2 linked regions of the Drosophila melanogaster genome follow. The protein of the gene in region 2 interacts with the protein of the main gene of each other region in a pairwise test. Each region holds a gene or a part of one and is shown on either strand. Other genes may lie near its edges.

What was found.
Region 1: the proteins of CG14989 (region 2) and Nbr interact in a two-hybrid assay, tested with the Drosophila melanogaster proteins (one large-scale study listed by BioGRID).

The regions. Positions count from the first base shown.
Region 1 is NT_033779.5:21,160,052-21,165,124, reverse strand, and holds Nbr (nibbler), read left to right. Parts: upstream 1-2,041; 5' UTR 2,042-2,122; coding exon 2,123-2,892; intron 2,893-2,947; coding exon 2,948-3,927; intron 3,928-3,985; coding exon 3,986-4,113; 3' UTR 4,114-4,489; downstream 4,490-5,073. Other genes in the region: Noc2 (nucleolar complex protein 2), read right to left, coding at 1-361, 421-1,446; Pld3 (phospholipase D family member 3), read right to left, coding at 4,558-5,073. UniProt on the Drosophila melanogaster protein: Possesses 3'-5' exoribonuclease activity. Required for 3'-end trimming of AGO1-bound miRNAs, in particular multiple-isoform miRNAs, which represents a critical step in miRNA maturation.
Region 2 is NT_037436.4:4,085,536-4,093,340, forward strand, and holds CG14989 (uncharacterized protein), read left to right. Parts: upstream 1-2,045; 5' UTR 2,046-2,169; intron 2,170-2,676; exon of another isoform or gene 2,677-3,209; intron 3,210-3,424; 5' UTR 3,425-3,431; coding exon 3,432-3,679; intron 3,680-4,503; coding exon 4,504-4,607; intron 4,608-4,737; coding exon 4,738-5,126; 3' UTR 5,127-7,171; downstream 7,172-7,805. Other genes in the region: CG14990 (uncharacterized protein), read left to right, coding at 7,704-7,781.

The sequences.
Region 1 (5,073 bases), on a different chromosome or scaffold from region 2:
TCAGTCGAATCACTCCGGTGGCAATGGTAACAAGGGGATAAATCAGAGGCTGCAACTGTGGTTTGTTCGCACTTGCTCCCAGGAGATCTGCCCACAAGCGCAGCGAGTTAATAAATTGCCAGTTGTAAACCGCTTGGAAACTGTCCTTTTTCTTAAGGATCACTGCATTTCGCAGGTGAATGGCCAACTGTCGGATGTAGAGGAAGACATGTTGATAACTGACGTTTAAATCCAACGCGAACATCTCCACCAGCGAGCGGCGCATAAAGTTGATTCCTGGTAAAGTGTTCGGCGACACGAACTTGGAATTGCGTACATAGGCCAGGTACATGGCTTTTAGAACGTGATTCAGCATGGTCGCCTGCAAGAACCATTGGTGTTAGCAGGGGTCACAATAAGTGTCTAGTTCAGAATATTTACCTGCTGTTTCCTGGTTATCTTCAGAATGCAGAGAAAGGCCAGAACACGAACTGTTTCATCTCCAGTGGACCATAAGACAACCAGACGCTTTAATATGGTCTTTCCAAGTGCCGAAAAGGGAACCACCATGCCGGCCATTTGATGCAAATGCTTCAGCAACACGCCCAAGATATTTGGACTGGACACCTGCTCCACCAGACGAATCAAATCGGTGAGGTAGTAGCGCAAACAGCCTCGCACCTTGACCCACTTCTTGTGCTTGTGCAGCGGTAGGCTGCTGTTGGGTCTAACGCCCAGCAATCGAATTATAGCGGGCTGCAGGTGGATTACGCAGAGCTGAATTACTCCATTAAACGCAGCTGCCCCCACTACCTTAAATGCGGCAGCATTATGCTTGTTCTCTCCTCCGTCCGCTCCGTCGGCAGAGATACTAGCCAGAGCTGAATTGAAAGCCTGGATAACCTTGCGGACAATGTCAATAGATATGTTGGCCTGGCCCAATTGCTGTTCCCACTGATGCAACAGGTTGAGGGTGATCTTTTGGATACCTCCAGCTGCCGCATCGTCCTCTTCGTCGACCTCAAAGTCACTCTCATCGCTAGCCACCTCCAAATCCTTGCTGGGTTTGTGGTACTTCTCTTCGTCATCCTCGTCATCCTTACTTTCCTTAGTTACCGTATCTTCCTTGTCTTCCTCATCCCCCTCTTCATCATCATCATCATCTGTGTCCAGTAAATTAAAGTCCAGTAGCTTCTTATCATTATTTTTTAAGAAATCATAAAATTCTGGGTCTATATCTTTAAGCCCTTCAAGCTCCTCTTTGTGGGATTTCTTAAATCCCTTTTTTGTGGTCTTCCCATTCTTCACTGGTTCGGCGACTTTCTGCTTCGGGTTTCTTGGAGTAACTTTCGTTTCAGAGGTTGTTTGCGGTTTCGTCTTCCTGATGGCATCCTTGGCGGGCTTCTTTTTGCTTAGGTCAGGCTTGGATTTGCCCAGGGTCTTAATTTTTTTCGTAGCCAGCTTCATTTTTCAACGTGCAAACTAAAACAAAAATGCACGTGTGCTGTTCAACGGGGCTGCCACGCTGCTGAATTGTGGGCAGTGCTGCCAATGCGTTAGGAAAATAGAGCTAAATACAGCTATAGTAAAAATAGGCAAGTTTTAACAATTTAATTAAAATAAAAACTCATTAACTCATTTGCCAGTTGGACTTCAAAGGCAACACAGTTAGAATAACTATAATACTTATTATTTTAGCTAGACTTTTATCAAATAGTTGTTCTTTGGATTTCAATCCTGCAATACAAATGATTGCCGTATTTCCAAGCAAATTTAATAAATAAATTTTCCAATCAAAGTAAAAATTGTAAATAATTTTGCACCGGCGGATTTCATGTACCTTGTTCACTGTATAAAAAATTGCTAATTATAAATATATATTTAATATTAATATATATATATATATATATAGCTTTCTAGCAACAAGGCATTAATCTGCGAAAAAAATAATCTTGCTTTAAAAAAATCTATAACTTTTGGCGGTTTCTGCTGACGTTTGGTGTTGTTTTGGGCGGTCACTGAAACATCGATGTTTTTGAAATCGATATTTCCATCGAAGTTTGTTCGCCTTTACCGTCAATTGCATTTGCAATTGGCAATTGCACTTGCTTCGCTCTGCAGTGGCACGGGAAACCCGTGAGAAATGGCACGCAAGAGCCACATGTACAACGCAATACCCGCCGGCTTTGAGTCGGACGAGGAGAACATGGAGAACCTAATGAGCAACCTGAAGATCAAGCGCTTGGAGGACATCACGACAGGTGCTGGAATCGACGGCTGTAACTTTGACGCCACCTTGGACGCAAAGGCGGAGGAGTTTTTTAAGCTGTTCCGCGAGAAGTGGAACATGTATAGCAAGAAAAAGTCGCCACATCTGCGCCAGGAATTTGGAAGGGCTTTAATGGGCCATCAGGATCCTTTGCTCCTGGCCCTGAAGATCTTCGCCAACTGCCCAGACAGCAGCAACATCAAGACGAAGAGCTTGTCACATTTTGTGCTGGACACGGTTTGCAAGCTCCACAAGGATTTCCCGCATCTTGGCGAGGGCTGTGATCCCAACACCAGCATGATAGCCTTTAACTTTGTCAAGACCTCCGGCTTGCTGGCCCTCAACAATGCTGTTATCCATGCCTACAGTCTACGTCAGATCCGCGACCTACTGCTTCCCAAGTTGCGCGAACTCCTGGACAACGGGCTTTACAAAGAGGTCACCCAATGGTCCATCAGTCTGCAGTTGACGCACGAGTTCGACATGCTGGAACTGGCTTTCCCGCTGATTGCAATTGAGAAACTACCACTGGCCGAGGAATATCTGGACCATGCCACACAGCAGAGGTTGCCCTTTGTCAAGTTCTTGGATTCGTTGCTGCACAAGGAGAAGTCGGTTTTAGAGCTCTGCGAGCATCTACTCGAGTATGTATTTGAAAAACTGGTCTTGCAATTCATCTAATTCTATCTTCACTTGCAGTCGGTACAAAAATCTCAAAATTTCCCATAACGTGCTCAGCTATCGGCCTATGGCCAAGATTGTGGCGCGACTGGCCAAGAAGTATGGTTTTGACGACGCCGTCACGCCCAACTATAAGTTCACGAAGACGTGCAGCTACTTGCATTACCTTTACCGCGAGTACGAGAAGACGCGCATGAACCTGGCCAGTTTCCGGGAGGTTGTGAGCGTCCATGCCTTTAACCACGAGCTGCGCACGGACTTCGTAAAGTATTTGGCCTCTGCTGGAGCTCATTCTGAAGCCATCTACTGGTACACGGAGTTCAATATTGACCCGAAAGATTGTCCGTTGGAGATCGAGACGCAGGTATCGCAAAACGGTGCTGGAAAAGCGTCAGGCTGGGAATCCCCCGGCAAGGAACGCTGTCCTTCGAGTAGATGTGATATGTACCTGACCATGGACCTGCCCGACGAGTGCCTTATCATTGTGAACAAGGCTGATGAGTTCGATCGTATGTTATACCATCTGCAGCAGGAGTGCGTCATATACCTGGATTCTGAATGGATGCAGAGCGTGTGCGGAGACAATCAGCTGTGCGTGCTACAGATCGCCACCGGCCACAATGTCTACCTGATCGATTGCCTGGCGCGGGAGAGCTTACGCTCGGAACACTGGCGCTTGCTGGGCGCGAATATCTTTAATAACGTGAACATCCGTAAGGTGGGGTTCTCTATGGTCAGTGATCTCAGTGTATTGCAGCGGTCACTGCCCCTGCAACTGCGCCTTCAAATGCCTCACCACTACTTGGACCTTCGCAATCTCTGGTTGGAGTTAAAAAAGCAGCGCTTCGGCGTTGAACTTCCCTTCGGCAATGTTAACCGGGCAGGAGACGCCCTTACGGATCTCTCATTGGCATGCCTTGGCAAGAAACTGAACAAATCAAACCAGTGCTCAAACTGGGCCAATAGACCGCTGCGTCGCGAGCAGATTCTTTATGCAGGTGAGTCAGGGATAGGCCTTTTGATTGAATGTAGCAAGACTAATTTTCTACTTAACAGCCATCGATGCGCGGTGTTTGATGCTGATCTACAACACGCTCATTGAACGCGTGTCCTTCATACAAGCGGTTATCGAAAAGAGCATCGCCAGCAATAACTTTCTCAGGCGGGGTGCCCATGTTAAGTGATTGAGGAGCTGGCCTCTGTTATACCCATGCTCCTTTTGATGGATAGCGATTATCACGAAGACGACAAAGGCGTTCGCCCAACATTTATTAAGTGCAAATGTTATATGTAGTTGCAAAGAGTATTTAACATATATTTAGTGACTAGCCAGGCAGCTGGGTTAGTGCCGAGTTAGGCAGTTTGTACACATGTTACAAATCAGAAGGAAACTATGTGACTGCGAGCAGGATATGAAAGAATGAATTTTATTACGTTATGATTTCAAGCTCACTGTATCTCCATACTTTAAATACTTGCATTATTCCAATTCGTAAATTCGCGTATTATTTGAATTCACGCATGATCAAAACTGAATAAAAGCAATGAATAGGATTGAACAATTGTCGGGAGCTAAAATAGTTAAAATAACATTGGCATCGGAATAATCACATTACAACGTTGTGCGATTATACCAGCGGTGTGGCGTACTTGCTATTCCAGTCCCGCTCGAAAACATTCCGCAGATCGCTTCTTAAGGTATTAGTGGTCTCGGTCTCGAAGGTTTCGCTTAGCACCAGTCCAATGCCAGCGGTGTCCGTGAAGTAGTCTCCACTCCAGTTAGAAGTTCCGATGTAAGCCACTCGATCTGTAACCATGTACTTGTTGTGGTTGACACGGCCAAAGGGAATCTTCTCCTGGCTCGAATCAGTCGGCACTATGAATCGACGAATTTGTATATCAATTTTGTCTTCTTTGGATGCCAAGTCCTGCAGTGACCTGAGATACCGGTCCTCACTGGGATTCGAGTGCTTCCACCACGAAATAAGGAGCTTCACAGCCACGCCCCGTTCTACAGCCGCCTTTCGCAGAGCGTCGTCGATAAACGGCCAATAGTGGTGGTTCTTCTCGTATATGATCAGCGGATAATAGTCCATAACCGCAATATTTACGTAAGTTATGGCCGTGTTAATAGTGTTGAGGAT
Region 2 (7,805 bases):
GAATGTGCGAGTACGAAATGTATCGAAATGTATCTCTGAGATGGAGCTGCGATTAACTACTTGTGGTCTAAACCAACGACAACTTACAGAGTTCTCTTCTTCCTAGCAACAACAAAAAACACTGAAAATCACTCGCGAAACGGAGGAGCAACAATTCGCTGATTGAACGGACTGGGAATTACTATTGGATTTGAAATGTATATATATTTTCACAGGTTCACAGGTTTCGGGCAACTTTCACTTTCGGTTTGGGAAACTTAGGGAACTGAGCAGCCTACACTCGCTGACGATCTGCGGAGCTATGAGCAGCAGCATCCGCCTGAGTTGCCTACGAAGCTTTTCGCATCCAAAAAATGGCTGCCCATATACCACTACAAGCGTACCTATGTATATACATACTACTCCTCAATCTCTTGCATAACCTTCAGCGACAACGACAACAACAGTGGGGCTGAGGAAAATGCGGGAAATTCTCCGGGTGACGTCATTGATTTTTCGGAAACCATCTTTGTTAAGGCCATTTTGCGTGGGCGGAGCTTCGGCCATGCGCGCCCCAAAGTATCCAACAGATACACATGAAATATGTGCGCACGCCTGGTGAATGCTAAAGAAATAATAAAACGGGATAAAGGGAAAGGAAAATATAGATTGTGATGGGGCGACCAAATGAAAAGCTAATTAACAAACTAATTTTGCCACTGTTTCTGACATTTACAATGACCCACAACTTTTTATGAGAGTTTCCTGTCGAATGAAACAAAAAAAAATAACCCTATAATTACTTTCATTTCCCGCATATATGTACATATGTGCGCTTAGATATAGAAGCCAAAGCATATAGATTCCTGGTATATAGAACAAAAACGAAATTTGGGTCAAAGCTAGGCCGCCCGCCCACTTGGGCTATGCAAAATAGATATGTATCTCAGAGTGAAATTGCATCATTTCCAATAGAACGCGTTTCGTAGCATACTTTTGAGGGCCAGAGAACATCTATGGCCATGTTATGCAACTTGGGTAAAGAGCCCAGGAGCAGCAGGACCAAAAAGGACGTCCATCAAACTGGAGAAGCTTAAACAACGAGAACCCTAGGAATACTTGCCGCAAAAGAGTTCCACCCACTCCACTTCCATTCTTATCTGACACACGGAGCAGCTGGCGTAGGATGTTACCACACACTTGGCACTTGGCACTTGGTCCTGCTGCTGCTCCAGCTCCTGCTCCCTGGGCAGGATCCAATGCGTCAGCGTATTTTCGTTGCGAGGGCTCTGGCACTTGAAAAGTGTCTTTCGATGTAACTGATTGCAACTTAAGAAGGCCATTACAGTGGCAATAACTCCCTTGCTAGTCCCTGTGATCCATCTTTTTTATTGAATGCCTGCAATATTGGCAAAATGAAGTCGACACTTGTTCAACATGACTTTCAAAACATTCTCATAGGGCGTAGTGCATTACTTTGTAGCACTAGCTAGAAGAAATCCAACGGCAGTTGCAGAAAGTCCATAAAGCCGTAATTGCACAACGAAATCGTTACTTTTGATGTGGCAACAACTGTGTGAAAGGACTTTCTTCGCAGTTTTTTAATTGTTAATTGCTCAATTGCTTTCTTGAAACAATAAAAACATTTTAGAAGACCTTAAGTGACAAATATGGCGCCTAATAGATATGAATTTGCACCCTACGCCTTAACATCTGCGTAACCCTTTAACAAAACCCATCCATCACAAGTGTCAGACAAATATTTCTGATACAAAAACAGCTCATGGTATTTAGAACCACTAAACATGGCGAAATAAAGTCGCCTGCTATCTGAAAAGCACTTCAACGGCATGTGCTACCAATAATAATTAGGCACTCGGTCTGCACTTATCGCAGATATATGGCAAACAGACCAGTCTGAAAAGGAGGGGGGGATCGGGTGTATCTGCGATAGTCTATCCTCTGATTCGCACTTGAATCTATGACACCGGCAGATAAAGCCATCAAAAACATTTATTATTAGTAAGTGGGATTTTCGTTTGGGCCGGTTTGGGCTCAGTTGAACAACTGCTACCATTTGTAGCGGACAGCTTTATATAAATCCCGTCGAGTTAAGGATTTAAGCATTTCGAGCGGAGCAGGTGCCACGAACAATCGGATTTAATTGAGTCAAACTTTTGGAAAAGCACAGTGAGTTGTAACAGGAAACGGAAACAGAAACAGAAACAGTAACAGAAACAGCAGCAGACATGGACAAACAAAAGGATTATGGGTTTAAGCCATTTTAAGAGCGATGTTTAAAATACTCTCAAAAATAATGGTTGCAATACAAGCATGTCGCCTTGCAGTCCCTTTTAAAAGTTATATGTACATTTTTAAGGAATATTTTAGTTAAAAGAATAGTCATATTACTAAAAATAACAAAGCTTTGAAGAACTATTTATTTGATTTTAATCAAACTAGAAAGCTGAAAGGGATTTGTAAAATTATCAAAAAATAAAACTATGCAGTCATTAAATATTTAATACTTCATTATAAACATTCCTTATTATTAATGATAGCAGATAAATAAATTGAGATAGATACTTTGCATCAGTAGAAATAGTTAGACAGGATCGATACCCTTTCATAAGAGCACAACTAGCGAATGGAATTGAACAATGAGATGAGCTCTCGACCAGAAAATAGGATGCTCACCTGGCTGTGATTGCACGTAGCGCAAGTAGGCCCTGTAACCCAGATAGGCGAAAATGTTTGGAGTCAAGTGCCACCCACGGATGCGGATGGAGCTGGGAGCTTGGGTCTGCTATTCTCGGGCGGCTAATTCAGACCGGGCGTTTCTGGCCAGGGCGAAGCGTCCTCTTTGGCACTCGACTCTCAACTGCCAGCCAGAGGCATCAGAAGCACAGTGGGCCAGGGAATGCTCCGCACCCCGGGGGCCATGAACATTTTTCGTTGCCCGTGGAAAACAAATGGGAGTTTGGGAATTTCGACTGTTTAGCCTGTCATTACGCTGACAAAATAAGATTCCAGCAGGTTGGTTAGCTGAGGCATTTATGTGAGGTATTTTCGACGAGAATCCCGTTGCAAAAGCGTTGTCAGGATGCCAGAATGCCAGGATGCCAGGTGGGAGTCTCAGTTGCGTTCGAAAGACAGGCGATTGCATAACCCCTTTCGGTTTGGCAAATCAAGCGAATGATATTCGGATAGCAAATGCTCGGGATAACAATGGTGTAAGGATTAGGCCCCGCAGGCAAGTACCCCAAACGCTGCTTTTTGCTGCCTATTTTTGAGAGCGCGATAATTGCATTTCGAGCACAATTGCTCCTATTGTACGGGGCCAAACAGTCTCCATTTTGGCCCAGTCCTCCCTGGAGGATAATACGCCCCAAACCAGCGTGAAAAACCCATCCCCCAGTTCCGTAATCTACCCATCTCTTTTCAGCCCAGCGATGGGAGAGCGTGTTGAAAAGCGACAGAGAAAAATGGGGGGATGTGGATTACAGCTCGTCATACCATTGGTCACAATCCTCATCCTGGCTGCGCAGGCGCAGGCTGTGACGTCATCGCCCGTCCTGAAGGACGACACTTTGGGGGATGCTGCTCCGACGGCAGCGCATTCAGCAGCCAAAATCCTTGAAGACGTCCAAACCATCAGCGCAGTTCAGGATTGGAGTTTGCTGTGTAAAGAGCTCTGCGGGTAAGTTTCGGATAAACAGCAATCGAAAACTCTAGGAATTACTGAAAGTAAGGTGCCTCGGCGCAAAGTGACTCAAGTGTTTATTGTTGGCAAGTGCAGGTTTCCCCCCAACACAAAAAAAAGTGCAAACTAATAATGATAATAATACGACACATTTACCAACTAAAATGTTGGCCTTGAGAAATCATTTGCAAATCGCGTCGGCCTTTCAAGTGGCTTCCATCGAGGTTTTCCCACAATCGCGTGTGTCAGGGAAATATAATCCGCATTCCTGATGATCGGTGGCTATATCAATGATTCGTGACTCGACTTTTGTGGCGTGTGTGCAGTAGTTTGTCAAGTGCCAAATATGTTAAGTATAAATGGCACTCGAAGTCGCCAGAAGTACTGTGCTCACTTAAAAAATTGAATAGGCTTTAAAAAATAAATTCTAAATGTCGGGTCAAAGCTAATCAAAATTATTTCACAATTTTACGATATATAATTTACAAATATTATTAATTAGAACATTTTGGCTTGCGTTTATATTTAAAATATACTCTGCATTATTTTTTAATTTGGTGTTTAATACTATTTAAAAATGTTTTGAAATAAATATATTTTTTACAAAAAAAAAAAACAGTTTATCAAGTCGAGATTTTCCTAGATCATTTGTGCTATTTAAAACTATGTTATCTGTAAACCTAGTTTCAATAACAATTATGCATATATCATGGTTCTTAACTTGGTAATGCGAGTGTCATATACTGTCATCTTAAATCTTTTTTTTTTTTAATTTACTCTGCATTGCAATTTAATCAGCATTTTATGGTTGATCCTTGCAGAGCTGGCCTGGGCGTTGCTTCAACGCCTGATGTGGCCAAAAACACAATCCTGAGACCGGAGACGGATGTGGCCAAGTGCCGGCAACTGTGTGGACTGCCTAGGGGTAAGTGGAAAATAATATATTGAAACTCTATTCAAAATATTATACTTTAATGATTATTATGGTCGAACTTAAGGTTAATTTGCTTTTTGAAAAATAAACATACTAATCAAATGCACTTATTTACTTCCAGCTAAAGCGGGCGACTTGGTCTGCTCGAGCTTTTGTGGTCAGATGGGTCGCTCCCTGCCCGGATGCAGTCCCTGCCAGCAGGAGGTGCGCAGGATGAGGGTGATGAAGGAGCGGAAGCAGGAGGAGGAGAAGCAGGAGGAGGTTCGAAAGGACGAGGAGAAGGCCAGTGGAGTGCTGGGCGATCCAACACACGGTTCCAGAGCCGCGGAGAATGCCGAACGGAGAGGATCGGTCGAGGAAGCAACAGTGTCCGCAGCTACCGTGGCAGCCGCCTCGGAAACGGACACAACCACTCCGGCACCGGACTGGGACGAAGTGTGCAAGGTGCTCTGCAAGACTGGCGATGGCGGGTCTTTGTGCAACTGTGATTTATCGCCGTTCTTCAGCTGAGCGATCCCCACCTTCCTGAGGGGATCGCTCCCGATGGAGGCGCTAAATCACAAAACCATATATATGGATCGAGAATTATCTGATTATCTGATGTTTTGTTGTTCTTCGTTTTTGAACTTCAGTTAGTGCTATTGTTGTCATGAAAAAGTATCTCCCATATATAATCTATATCGGAAAACGTGTTACGAAAGTTTAGTTAAATACTGTAAAGAGATAAAAACAAAAACTATAGAAAAATCAAAAAAAAAATCAAACAATTCAATATAAATAATACATAGAGAAGAATATACGATGAGGAGGAGGAGCAAGCAAACAAAAAAAATTCCCTATGCGAATCAATTAATTTGTAACTAATTTCAATTACAACTAACTATAGAAAAGCTATAGAGTAAGCAAGGGGGGGGACTTTACCCCCCACACTCGAGAAACAGCAGAATCACGCAGGGCTTCCAGTGCGTCGCCTCGGAGGATGAGGATGCCCTCCCAAAAGGCATCCGAAATCCCCGGGACGGACACAACCCGTATTTAGGTGATTGGTCAAGGAATTGGACTGAGGAGACACAAGAAGAGATATATGAAGATGAACAACCAATTAATATCAATGTACACAACATATCGTGCGGTAAACACTACCCAAAATCAAAAAACAAAAAAAAAAACACCCAATCACATTTATTTGGAATACACCTTGGTTCGATGGAATCAGCATATCAATTTACCACGAGGCAAAAACAAGTTGGTATCTAAAGAATTTCCTTTGTTTTGGCTTACAAGTTATTGGCGAATCTAAAGCATTGAGATATTTCAAATCAGCATCAATTAGGAGTGTCGCAATTAGGCCAAAGTGCCAACCAAGAGTTTAGTGTTGGTTACGGCCCTTAAACGCAAAAGCAACATTTATAAAATATATACTTGTACTTACTAACGAATAACACATGTAATTGGTCTATATATATATCCACAAAATGAGTTGCGATTGCAAATCAGAAACTCAGACGGGCTATACTGGATCTACCAGACCCGTATACATCATATATATATATATATGAATATATATATATACATAAAGCTGTAAACCATAGTTACCATAATATCTAGGTGTCATATTGTTCAGCATAAATAATCGCATATGATGTATTGTATGCATATTATCTGTGTGTTTGGAAGACATTTTTTCGCATTGCATTGAAATGGAAGACAACTTAAATCGCATTCTGGAAGACATGCGTTGCGGCAGCGCCAAAAAGATCGGCCAGCTGCCAAATAGTTTGTAAGATATTCTATATAATAATAATAATAATGAGATTTTCGATTCGAGCTCGAAGATATAGTCAATACAAGCACACGTTGTTGTGGCAAACGCGACGCTGTGACTGACAATAATTAACTATAACTTAGCAGGAGAAGAGCAGGCAAGGAAGTTCGCATACTCAGTGTCTATATATCAGTACTATTGCTAATATTAACCATGCACTACTACTAATCAAGGAAAATGGAAAATAATTAATAAATATTGTATTGCACCAAAGTTATAAGGCAATTTTCAGAGCACATTCATTGATAACCTAATGCGGCTTCAGTATGTATATCGATGTGTAGCAAGTTAATCACTCAGTAATTAATATACGAAATGCACTTTACATTTATGTATATGTATATGTGTTAGGCGTTGCGTTTCTGCCATGAATACAGCGACTAGCGAACCGATCACACGGATTATGCCGGAATAATATCCATAATTCAATAATATATATATACATATATATATATATTTATAACCAACAGACACATCATCATCATCAATTACGAATACCGAGTCGAAAACCGTTTCGAACCGATTATGCCGTTTCGCAGTTTCGTTTCTTTAGTTTTATCCAATGGCCAGGCATTATCTTAGTCGGTAATGTCTGGGGCTATGGTTAAAATAACACAGAAAAATAGATTTAAAGGCAATTTCACAACAGATAACCATAACAGCAACTACACAACCAAATAAAGGCAATTATTATCTTATATACGTTAAATGTTGTAAAGCCCCTCTAAACAAAAAAAAAAACAAGAAAGCCTGTGTTTTATTGGGATGGCTAAGGGGCTCAATAAATATGCAATTCAATTTTTTATTTTATTAATTTTATTACATTTTTTACAAATACCCCGAGTTTTCATTTAATTTGAATAACAAGAACTAACGTAACGTACAATTTGAATACACTGCTTTACCACGTAAGCTTGAGGAACCGTTTCACTGCTTCAACCGTGGCAAGCAGTGCATAACCGCTTGAGCTGCTTTAAACAGTATTTCAAATCAGGGCGCGCTGTCTACATTCTTATCTATATGTGTATAACAAAAAAATTGATTGCTTATTTCTTAGGTACCTACATACATATATTAATTATTTCCCATAGGAGTGCATGCGTATATTTTTCGTAGATATTATTCGCTCTCTTTTAGAAAATATATAAAGCTTAGTATGTATACTATCAACAGTGACTGATAAGCATGATTCCCGTCGAATTTTTAAAAGTGTCGCAGCTTCTGACTTTTAGTCGTTTGGAATTTGTGAGCTCAAGCAAACCATGCTCAAGAACTGGACAATAAATACGTTCCTTTTGGTTTCGTTTCTTTGTAGTGCGACTGGGCAAAATGAAGGAGGAGTATATAATATTTTTTGAAATATT